Linked DNA regions of Drosophila melanogaster. The protein of the gene in region 2 purifies or fractionates together with the protein of the main gene of each other region. This does not show direct contact. Each region holds a gene or a part of one and is shown on either strand. Other genes may lie near its edges.

Region 1 (4,958 bases), about 11 Mb from region 2:
AATGGCATTACCAATTCCCGACAGCCACACAATACATACGAGTGCGAAAACCGGAAAGAGAAGCTAAGCAAGAAGTTGGCGGAGAAAGGAAAGGGGCAGCAGCAGCCGTAGCAGCTTTAATTCAATTGAAGCCAAACAATTGCTAATGGACAAATGCCGGGCCACAAGGCAGTTACTTTTTCGAAATCTCTTCCGCTGGAGAATTGGGTTTAGAGAGCTCGTGTGCAGATCGGCGGACGGAGTGGCCGGGCGGGGGCAGGTGAAGCGTCTGGGGCTTCCAAGTTAGTCATTCAACGAACTTGGCTATTTCGGGAGCAACCGCTTTCATGATGCATGTGTGTGGCTCTGTTGCCGTCTCTGTCGGCATGACTCAATGGGTCGCTCTAACAGAGATGCGCCAACGAAACGAGCTCGAAAAGTGACTGGCACATTTGGTTACTCGATGGAAATCTGATAAATGGGGCAATGATTTCTTTAAAGGATATGCTGCTTTATACTATATATGATTCCACTGCATCAACAAATTAGGTTTAAGATTGAATGATAGCTATAGAGGGTCATCTATAACGAAATAAGATTTTCTATAGTTCAGTTCAATTGAAATAAAGCCGTTTGCTAGCAAGGATACGCATTAGTAATTGAAGAAGCCTCCCCAAGACATTGGAATGTGTGGTCACCATATCGAGCGTTTGTTTAGAATCACTACTAGTAATTCAAACAGACCATATATGGAGTTGTTTTGGAGCTTGTTATTTGGATTGGATACTCACTTGTATACCATGGCATTGTCGCACGTGTCGTTGAAGGCGTAGTCGAAGCGAAACTTGTGGTTCTCCAGGAACTTGGTGAGGTCGACCTTGCTGCGCGGCTCGTGCACGATGAGCATGTCCTTGCGCGGCACCGAAATGACATCGATCTCCTTGCGATTGACCTCCTTGCGGCTAATGGGACGCTTGCGCACGCACACTGTGATCTGATGGTCATCGACGGCCTGGCCATCGAGCAGCGGCACAAATTCCAGCGTGCTCTGATATTCGCGTATCATTTGCGCCGTCTCCCAGTTTGGATTGCCCGGATCCTGGTTCATCAGCGCCACCTTCTCCTCCTTCATCTCGGCCTGTCGGGCGCGTCGCTTCTCGCGATTCTCCTTCAGTCGCTCCACCTCTTTCAATGCGTGCGATCGCCGGGTACTAGCGCCGCCAGCTCCCTGGGTTGTGGCCGCAGTGGCGACTCCTTGTGCCGCCGGACCAGCACTGGCTGCCGCGCTGGGATTGGGCAATGTGTTATTAGGCACCGCCGAGGCGATCCTTGTCTGCTGCTGGCCGGTAGCAGCTTGCGAGTACCGTGGACGCTGTAATCCAGTGGTCGTCGACGTTGTGGTGCCACCACCTCCGCCGGCCGTAGTGTTGGAGTTGCTGTTTGTATTCACGCTATTGCTGCTGACAATCGGATTGGGAATCGACTGGCTTTCCTGGATCTTGTTCAGCATGTTTCCGGCCATGGTCATACGGCTGGTGAGATTGCCACCGATAGCCGATTGTGTGGGATTACGCGAGAGGTTCATCGGCGCGGTGGCTTGTTTCTTGGGCTCCGGGGCGGCGTGCTGTTCGACAGTATCTTGCATTAGCTCCGGATTGAGCGTGAGTATGGCGTCCAGTTCTACCTCCTTGCCCTTCGTTTCGCCGCGCTCGTACCATTCGACTGTGATGCACTTGCCCGACTGGTTGATCACCGCCACCACGGCCATGTGGACGCGGCCATCCGTCCGCTTGATCTTGACGCTCTGCCCCACCGTAATCATGTCCATGATCCTTCCTCTTTGACTCCACCTGTATATCTCTATTCTCCACCGATCTCTTTCTCTTTCTCCCGGCTTATCCTGCGTTAACTCCGAGTACTGCTTGATGGACAGCAACTTCCACTGCTTGCAGGAGGAGTTCCGTTAGTCGTAGATGTAGTAACTACGTTGTGGTGTGCAAAATGTGCCTAAATAAATACATAAACAAAAAACACAATTTAGTCAGATTTTTTAGGTCGAAAATAATTTTATTTCGTTGTTTCTTGACGAGCGATAAACTTGTGGAAACTAAGCCCCGAACCGAATTCAAGGCATTGACAACTAAATCGAACCCAACTGCTTGTCGAGGTCGCCGACAGCGTCTGTTTTTTTTTTTTCGAGTGTCCCAGTGTGTGTGTGTGTGCTGCTTGCGGGTCGGCGTTAGTATGTGTGTTTGTGCTGAATTCAAATGCCAACTGTCGTTTTCGTTGCGTCTGGCAACGGATAACAAAAAGGAAAAACGGCAGCCCGCTGGCTGGGAATTGGAAATAGGAAAAGGGGAGCTCCGAGCCAGCGTAGGATCGCGAAAATCCCAACCGAGTTGCTGCTTTTGTTGTTGTGCGCCCATTTTGTGGGCACTGGCGGCACTGTGCAACACTGACACACACATAGCGACACATATGCAGCTGCGGCAAGCCTTTTGGCCGAAATGCAGCGAAAAAAACAACAAACCGCGGCGTTTGGCAGCCAATCAATGCTTTCCGCTCCTAATTAGATGCAAAACTGATGAGAGAGAAACACAACACTTGCACACACACACATATGCAAGGAGTGGGGGGAATGCGTTTGCTTTATCGCTTTACGTCATACACAGAGCACCCACACACACTTGCGAGCAAACACAAACACACACCGATGCAGAAAACAGACGGTCGCGGAAATTTAATTGAATTTTTCGCAATCTTCTGCCTTTCGCTCACCTTTCCTGCTATCTTCCCAACCGCTACAATGTGTTAGCACTTTCCATTAAAAAAAAAACTGGCGGATTTATCGACCGATCACAACGAAATATCACAAAATCTGCTAGAAATAGTTTTGCAAGCGACCAGATGTCAGCAACACAATTTTTTAGTTTCGCCTCGCCATTGTTTTTTGTCCCCGCCGCGTTGCGCAGCACTGGACTGCAGCGCAAACAGTGCTGGCAATCAGCCGTTGTGTTTGAAAAGTGAGACAATTGGCGTGTTAATAAGTGAATAAAATCCATATTAAGCAGGGTTACTATTGGCTAAGTAGTTTTTGGGTATATTTATGACTTTTTAGTAGAAATACAAGTATAATTTTGACAACTTGAGAGTTTATTATTAAGATTGATGTCTTGGCCAACACTAGGCAAAGTAACCGTTAAAAATGTCAGCTGTTTTGGAATTTATATCAATAAGTAATAAAAATAAGCGACCGCTTTTGTTGGCATAAGCATAAGTTCATTAAAATGTGCCTTATTTATTGAAAGAATCAACGTTTCGGCAATACTTTGTATATTTGTGTGCAATTGGCTTTTCCGCCCCCCGAAACTAGACAACACTAGACATACATAACGTTGGGTATTTTTAAGCCCTAACAAAATTAGCTGTTTAATAAGACAAATTGGGAGTGCCTTATCAGGGTGAACTAGGTATTATTCGACGTGGATGGTTATTCATTTGCATGGTTTTACCGTTTTGTCATTCATGTATACATATGCACTTGGGTTAAATTTTGTAATTTTCTTGTAGTTTTATGGTTGTTAATTATCTTTTTTTCAAAAACATTTAGCCATTTACCAATTTGGACAAAGAGCTTTCCACATGTATACAAATTGCTTGTACAGTGGAAACACCCACATTCGAGACGCGAATAGGTGGGCACTTTGCATCGCGCTTGTCTATCGATACTATAATCCGAACCATCGACTTTTGTTGGTGGGGGTGTATTTGTTTGTGCGTTGAAGGGAAAGCGTAATAACGCCTCCTGATATCGATATCGATATCATATCACAAAAAACAATAAACCAAAAAAGAAACGCTAAAAACTAGTAGTTTTGTGTGCCAGGAAAACGGAAAGGTGGACATAGTTAAGTTACCACAACAACCGACGGATATCGACTCCAGACACCACATCGCCCAGCGCCACCATGGACATCATGGATATCCAGGCCGTAGAGTCCAAGCTGAGTGACGTCACGGTGACACCGATACCGCGCAGCCAAGTGCAGAATTTCTACAATTACCAGCAGCAGCGGGAGCAGCGCGAGCAGCAGCCCCAAATCCAGATATCGGCCATCCACCACTCGCGTGGATCCGTTGGCGGAGGAGGCGGATCCAACTCATCCAACGCTGCCACCGACTACTCCACGAGCAGCGGTGGCAAGCGGGAGCGGGACCGCTCCTCCGCCAGCGACTACAGCAGCTCGTCCAGCAAGCAGAGCTCCGCTGCAGCGGCCAATGCAGCAGCAGCTGCCGCCGCCGTCGCTGCCCTCCAATACTCCCCGCAGTTCCTCCAGGCCCAGCTGGCGCTACTCCAGCAGCAGTCGAACACGACGGCCACGCCGGCAGCCGTCGCCGCTGCGGCCCTCTCGCTGGCCAACATGTGCTCCAGCAATGGTGGTCAGCGGAATTCCGGTGCCGGCGTTTCCTCCACCTCCTCTGGCAGCAATGGCCAGAGCATGGGCCTGAATCTGAGCTCATCGCAGCTAAAGTACCCGCCACCCTCCACCTCGCCCGTGGTGGTGACCACCCAAACTTCGGCCAATATCACCACGCCGCTGACCTCCACGGCCAGCCTGCCCTCAGTGGGCCCGGGCAATGGGCTGACCAAGTACGCCCAGCTGCTGGCCGTCATTGAGGAGATGGGCCGCGATATCCGGCCCACGTACACGGGCTCGCGCAGCTCCACGGAGCGTCTCAAGCGGGGCATTGTCCATGCCCGCATCCTGGTGCGCGAATGCCTCATGGAAACGGAGCGTGCGGCGCGCCAATGAGAGGAGGAGTCGCTGGCGCCGCAGCTGGCGACCCCGGAGTGAAATGGACCAGGAGGCGAGGATCGGCCTCATCTAGGTTAATTACCCCCAAACAAAAAAAACAAAAAAAAACACGGACATATAGCAAACGCAAAGATCCATTTTGTCCCAATTAAGCATTAAAGT
Region 2 (7,201 bases):
CTCATAATTTTATATTTCACATTCTTATAAAACACTATTTAAAATTAAATAAAAATCGATTTGACTTGTTTTAAAAATAAATACGTGCATGTATAGCACATATAGTATGCAAATAAAAAAAATTATGTGTTTTAGTGGGTTACGCTAGATTTTAGTGGTAAAACGGTGGAGCGCATACGTTGCCATCCTGTAATCCCAAGTAGAAACCGACCCGCTGCTGCGGCTGACTTTGATGCGGATTTTGCTGCTGATGCTGCTGGGATATATCCTGGTACCCTGATTCCAACTCGGTGTAGGACATGGTAATCCTTTGTGTTGGTGTTAGTGCGAGTTATCCAAACAAAACAAGGAGCAAACAACAACACTGGGAAACGTTTTTCGTATTCTGTTTTTACATTTTTCACTCTCACCCCCACGCACGCAACTTTGCCGCGTGTTAAAAATATAAGTGTGCGCTTATATTTTTGTTAACGATTTTTTCTCTCACTGTCCTTCGATTTACGAGTTACGAAATCTGTTATTGGTGTGGTTTTATTATTTGTATTATTATTTTTTCAATTTGGTGTGTCGTTCTAAATTCGCCGCCGGCGGAATTATGGAATTGGGTGGGCAAGGCACGCGGGCAGCTGGGTGAATAACAGGATGAGCGGGAGGTCGGCCAATTGCTGTGGGTTACGTGCTCACTAATAATTAATTGTTATTAAACTAGTTTTCTCTCGCTTTTGATTATTTGTCTGCCTTTGCTGTTTTCTTTTAAGGCCATCACACGCACACACGACTACTCGCTTTAAAAGTTCCGTTTGTTTTGGCAATCCGCCGCAGCTTTCAGGGCGAATTTGTCTAGAAAGCTCCGCAATGTCTTGAAAGCTTGGCTGCAAAAAATCACGCGGGCTTTTGCCAAACAGCTGTTCTGTAAATCAAGAAAGAAAAGGTATTAAAAGGTATTAAAAAGATAATAGAGAGATATAACCAAAAATAAGTATATAAATGTATTTCAGTTCAATATTGCGACTAGTATGTATATTTGTTTGTTAGAATTGCTTATTAATCGTAAGAATTAATTTGTGTATGTAGTTAAGGATACTACCGAATCTACCCATTAAATTTTATATTATTTTAATATTTTTTTAATATTTAATATTTAAAAATATACTTAATATTTAAGTATTAACATATACATATTTTCTTCCATTTCAGCTCAAATATATATATTCCATAATACAAATTAAATAATAACAAGAGAGATTGCTATAGTCGGCTATCAGATACCCGTTACTCAGCTAATGAATATGCCAACGCAAAGTTGGGAAATAAAATGAGAAAAAATATATATGTAAATGGTTCGAGTTGTGGGCGCTGTGGGCCAAACGCCGTTTTGGGAGTTTTTTTTTATTATATATCGATAGAAATGGGCAAAACAAGCAAAAAAACGTAGAAAAAACAAAACATTTTTCAAAAGTGTGGGCTTGACAGCTTTTGGCTGTTTTTAGGCGTTAGAGTGGGCGTGGCAGAGTTTTTTGGCAAATCGCGTCTATGTCTCTGGAAGCTGCATGATAAATCTGAACATTCTAGCCTGTATAGTTTCTGAGATCCTGACGTTCATACGGACGTAATGACAGACGGACGTGGCCAGATCGACTCGTCTAGCGATCCTGATCAAGAATATATATACTTTTTATAATGGGAAACGCTTTCTTCTATCTGTTACATACTTTTCAACGAATATAGTATACCCATTTACTCGTAGAGTACAAAAAGGGTACAAAAATGTAAAAATGTATAGAGAGAAAGTGGAACCAGAAAACTTAAACTTAATAAAAATGTGTTTAGTTAAAACAAGAATGCTTCGTTTATCGTTTCCTCCTTTATTCGAGCAATCTAACCTATGAAATCCTAATCCAATCGGCGATGTTTGAGGAGTAGTTTGGTCTTGATCCTCTGGCGATCCCGAGCGATGATCTCCATGCGGTCCTTTATGTTGGTCTGGAAGAAGATCAGGTGCAGGGTACGACTGGCGGAGCAGAGCTATGAGTTAATTCAATGAATATAAAGGAAAAAGTAGTCAGCTTGTATTAAGTTTGCAAACAAGGCAATTTCAAATCAAATATTTATATAAAATCGCATTAATTATTCTAAAATACCAGTAGTTTTGGTTTTGCTTACTCAAAGTTAAACCAAAGTCAATGTAAGCACAGTAGGTAACACTGCAGTCGAGTTTTTTGACTATCGCATACCCTTCACTCAGATAATAATTAATTTCTAGTTTTATCATCCAAGCCTAATGTACACATTTGGCACCTTTTACACCTAGACAAGTAACCAAGTAACCCACCTGTTGAAGCAATCGCGCCTTGAGGCGCAAGTTTGCAGGCTCCTCTGCATCCAGGCCATGTCCACAAGTTTCCAGGTGCAGGTTCAACACGAAGATCAGGGTGTCTCTGATGGTTTGGACAATGCGCTGCACTTGCTCGGTTGCAAAAAGCCGGCGGACCAAAAATCCTCGCACACCGGCATTAATACGTGTGGCCGCCCACTGGCGCTCTTCCTGTTTCAGCTCGACATATTTCTGGCAGGGATTAGAGGCGAAATTAAACAGGGAACGAAGGCACTTGCTAGTTGGGTTAGTAATTAGGTTAGCTACTGGTGCTAGAGGCTTGGTCCCTCGATTTCCTCGCAGTCTTTGTTAAGGCACTTGCATAACTGACTACCCGAATTGCTAGGGCTTCTTGCGCTGTTTGTGTTGGGGAAGAGGAAATAATAGAATGGGAGTACAGGAAATAGATATTACAGATTATATCGCCAAGGTTTTCACTTTTTTAGGGATAAAATACCTAATTATTATATTAAGTGATTATGCTAAGAATATCAATATCAATATCAATATAAAGCAAAAAAGAATGCTATCAGATACCCGTTACTCAGCTAGTGGATATGCAAACTAGAAATTTCATCATAATTTTTCTGGGATATCGATACAAAATTGGGAATAAAATGAGAAAAAATTTAAAAATTAATTAAAAATGTCAATAGAAATGTACATGTCTAATAAAATTGTGAAAAATATCCAACATATATTCAAGCTTTTATAGTTCCTGAGATTTTGACGTTCATACGAACAGACGGATATGGCCGGACCGACTCGGCTATAGATCCTGATCAAGAATATATATACTTTATATGGTCGGAAACGATTCATTCTGCCTGTAGCATACTATTCAACGAATCTAGTATACCCTTTTACTCTAAGAGTAACGGGTATAAAAATAGAGGACCATAAATAAAAAATCGTTAATGCTTTAGTTAAATAAAAGGAAAGGTCAAATAGCAGAGATTTAAAGTAAGAGTCCAACCAAATTAGCTGCTAACTTAGGTTGGCACAAATGAAAACCTTTGTGACTTAAAGCAAATAAAATATCGCTCAGATTCGCTTGAAAAACTTACATTGCCCAGCCGCTTGGTCGGTGAGGCGCTTTTTGGTGGGGCGCTTCCCCTTTTCGCTATAATGGAGCTATTTTTTCCCGGGGAACTTTTCGGTCGTCCTGCTCCACCTCCAGGCTTCGCTGGCGATTTCTTCACCTCGCGGTCTGCTGCGGTGATTGTTTTTACTAGACTACCGCCCACAGATTGCGATCGGCGCCGGACAACTTGGACACTTCGTCTGCTATTGGTTAAGCTGCTGTTCCGGAGGGGCAACGATCGCGGTGTGCTGGGGGCACTGAGCAGCTGCGGTTCCGAGTCCTTTGATGGTTTTGGACTAAACAGCCTCTTGCGAGCGGAAGAAGGCCCCGCAATTTGGCACTTGTCTTCCATCGTCGGAAAGTCTTCTATGTCCTCTGAAAAGGAGGGTAACGTAGGCGAGGGGGAAAAACGCTGCAGGTCTCCCGTACTGGTGCTTTGCGATATCAGACTGTCAGGATTTTCGGTGGCCGAGGAAACATCAATTTCGGCACACAGTTCCTCTATGAGCTGACGCTGCTGATGATCAAACTCGGCCTGCATGCGACGACGTTCCTTCTCCTGGTGAATGACCAATTGATTCATTCGCTCCCGATGGCCACGCAGATAGTTGCGCACTCCTGCCTTGCGGCTGGCTTCCAAAGCGCCATGCTCGTCCAGCGCCCGTTCTATTATACGCTCCACCTCGCGATCCCGCCTAGAACAGCTGCTGCCGGCGGTTGTGGTTTTAGTGGCGATGGTGCTCTTGGTTGCGGCGCTACTGTTGCTATTGTAGCTGTTGTGGCTAATTTTGCTGCTAATACTCCTTGCACTACGGTTCACCCGCTTGGCCTGAGACTCGATGGTCTGCTTCTCGAAGTTGGCCAAACTCTGGCTGGGTTTCACAGCCAGGGCCTCCCTCTCCATGTGCTCCACGAGAACCTGGGAGGGCTCCTCTAGTGTGAAACTTCTCGAACGCTGAAAATTAGCTGGTTCTGCCAGTGGACTGCCGAGCTCCCTTGCCGTTGTGTCCTTTGTATCCTGATCCTGCTGGTCTTCGGCTACCGCAGGACTTGTGCGCAGGATACACTTATCTGGAACTTTGGGCAGCAGCTTACCCAGTCCCGACTGCTCGAACTGCAGGATACGATCGGTAATGCGATTATGCCGCCTTGGGGAAGTGTTTTCTATTGATTTCACAAATGGTTGAGGCGTGGGAGGATCCACCTGTATGGTGGGCAACTGTTTGCCAAAGACCAGAGTCTGAGGACGAGCCTGGCCCCGTGTGCTGTCATAGATTAACGTTTCTGTCTGCTGCAGCTGTGACACACTTCTCCTACTGGCCATGTCGGATCCCGCCGAGTGTCTGGCCAGGCGGTACCGCTTCTCCAGCGCTTCTGCCATCTGGCGGGCCAGCTGCACCTCGCGCTTCTTGGCGCTCGTCATCTGGAACAAAGTAAAATGGTTACGCCTCAGTAAATGCCACTCCCTGACCAAGAATTTAAATCACCAGCGGTGGCAGTATAGGCTGCCCGTCCAAGTGGAACCGAAAGGAGACAGGGTCCATGGAACTAGAGCCACTGCCCTCGGAGGGGGCGCTCCAGATCGATATGGTGGTCGTGGCCGTTGGTGTGGTGGCCTCGCTGTGGCTACCTCCCATCTCAACTGCAGACAGCAGCTGCTCCATTGCCCTGCTTAATTGGAGAAGCATTAGATTGAGCAAAATCAGTAATTAGAAGCCCGTAAGCAACCGGGATTCATAAAATCCCAAGACCCACTCACCACGTCGCATCCATTGGTGTTTTGCTACTGGGAATTTTTGTTGGGACGTCGAAATGTCAGGAAGCCTTCTCAGAGGTCAGCTGAATCTAGGTGTTTTGTGAAAGTTCATTAAATGTCTGCTATGTTTTAGTTGCCATTAGAGATGACGATGGCACTAGGGAGCCCTCGACTTCCCGCCAAAAATTAGGAAACCTCTGAAGAGTTCATTACATCAATCAAATGATATCCCGAATCGTTGAGAGTTTTGTATTCAATGTTTCTACCGTGGATCGCAGCTACCATCAAGAGCCAATGAGAAATGCTGCTTTAATGCTGGGGAAAACATTTATTTTCAAACGGCAATTCAAAACTCACACGAAGTCCATGCAGCCCTGACGTCAGATATCGATAACCGGACTTTTGGAAGTAGCGTTTTTAGAGAAAATTTGAGGACTCCACAGATTAGCAGAGGAACAAGTTTTCAGTCCTTCCAGAATTATAGTAAAGAAAACGGTGGATTAAATTAGTGTTCAGGAACTTATATTGTATATTTCGTATGCTTCAAAATCTTGTCAAAATTAAAGAAACATTGTCTGCGAAAACTTAACTTTTATTGGTTCTTAACAAACTAATTTGAAACAGCTGGCCGAATTCAACAGTTTACTAGGTGGTTATCGAAACTGGTGTGGTACATTTTGGTATTTGATTTGCGCCGGATGGTATTTTCCTTCGCCGTGCGCGCGGTCACATTCACTGGATGTGTTTTTTTGCGCTGATTGTTGCTCTGGCGCGATCGAATTTGCCTGGAATTCGGGAGTCAACATAATATTTTCGAAAGTCACCAGCTATAGCGAAAAGTATGCGAGTTCTATTACAGCTTGTCGATATGTTGTGTTCGTAACTTCTGTTTGCATATGTTATGTGTGTGTGTTATCTAGTTACAAAACGATCTAAAACCGTTTTTGCAAAGAACGTCCGCAAAACTGAGTTTGTACTTCAAATATGAACTATTTGCGGTTTATATTGCTCCAGATTTCTCTCTTTAAAGTTGCATTGTAGATGCAGTCGTGTGTGTGTGCGTGAGATGGGAGTGCAATTTTTTTTCAACAGTATCAGCTTTGTTTTTTAAGTAGAATACAAGTAATTTTTACCCCTAACTTTATTCCTAGCCCCTTTCCTTTATAAAAATACGGTAAAAGTGTAAGGAAAACAAAAACAAAAAGCGCAAAGTTTCGCACATATATGTGTACATATGCATACACACGCTGAGTGTGGTGTTTCTGTATTGTTTTTTTTTTTGTGTTTCATTCTGCGACGCAATTGAAAAAGACATCGAAGGCCAAACAACTTGGTGTTTTTTACGTTTTGTATGGCTGTAGTTGCTGTTGTTGCTGCTCAGTTGGGCGTTAGTGTTTGGCTCCGTTCTTATTATTATTATTACAACTTTTCCACGCGCTTCGCTCTCTGTTTCTCTTCCACATGCTTGCTTTCGTCCTCTCCCACGCTGCATTGCTGTCTCACTCGCACACAGCCGGTAAGCCAAGCAGCAAACAGCAACAACAACAGCAACGGCGGCGACAATAAATTATGAAAAACAAGGGAATAAGTTGATGAAATAAGTATTTCGAATTAAATGGTTAATCACTGGTGGAAAAGTCGCAGTTCCAATGACACCTTTTCCATGCTGAACTACGGAGTTTTTTTTTGTTCTTAATCGGTATACGTTTGTGAAAACAAGTGCGCTTGTGTGAGTGAGACAGGGCCTCAAAAGCCAGAAAAACATGACAAAAACATTTTGGTAAATTGCCATGTATCCGAAATAATGCTCATGCAACAGTTACATATAAATATTGTTATTTTATTTTCTACGCAGTAGTCGCGGATTTTCAACAAAGAGCAATCATAGTGATGGTATAAAAGAGGGGAAGGACGAAAGCAAAGAGAGCAAACCGAAAACAGTTACTCTGCCCATGCGCACAGCTGACCCAGAACCTGGCATAACGGT

Evidence for each region. The genes of interacting proteins can lie anywhere in the genome.
Region 1: the proteins of Cp110 (region 2) and Klp10A purify together in Drosophila melanogaster (affinity purification with western blotting; one study listed by BioGRID). This does not show direct contact.

What each region holds. Positions count from the first base shown.
Region 1 is NC_004354.4:11,134,110-11,139,067, forward strand, and holds the start of Klp10A (Kinesin-like protein at 10A), read right to left. Parts: upstream 3,010-4,958; 5' UTR 2,758-3,009; intron 2,670-2,757; exon of another isoform or gene 1,987-2,669; 5' UTR 1,808-1,986; coding exon 771-1,807; intron 1-770. Other genes in the region: CDK2AP1 (CDK2-associated protein 1), read left to right, coding at 3,948-4,793. UniProt on the Drosophila melanogaster protein: Required during anaphase to drive sister chromatid separation to promote flux by actively depolymerizing kinetochore microtubules at their pole-associated minus ends, thereby moving chromatids through a 'poleward flux'.
Region 2 is NC_004354.4:22,480,767-22,487,967, reverse strand, and holds Cp110 (centriolar coiled coil protein 110kDa), read right to left. Parts: upstream 5,574-7,201; 5' UTR 5,428-5,573; exon of another isoform or gene 5,304-5,427; 5' UTR 5,232-5,303; coding exon 5,218-5,231; intron 5,130-5,217; coding exon of another isoform or gene 5,127-5,129; coding exon 4,946-5,126; intron 4,882-4,945; coding exon 3,442-4,881; intron 2,732-3,441; coding exon of another isoform or gene 2,717-2,731; exon of another isoform or gene 2,567-2,716; coding exon 2,333-2,566; exon of another isoform or gene 2,222-2,332; intron 2,026-2,221; coding exon 1,894-2,025; 3' UTR 1,884-1,893; exon of another isoform or gene 1,848-1,883; intron 911-1,847; 3' UTR 510-910; downstream 1-509. Other genes in the region: l(1)G0196 (lethal (1) G0196), read right to left, coding at 179-301.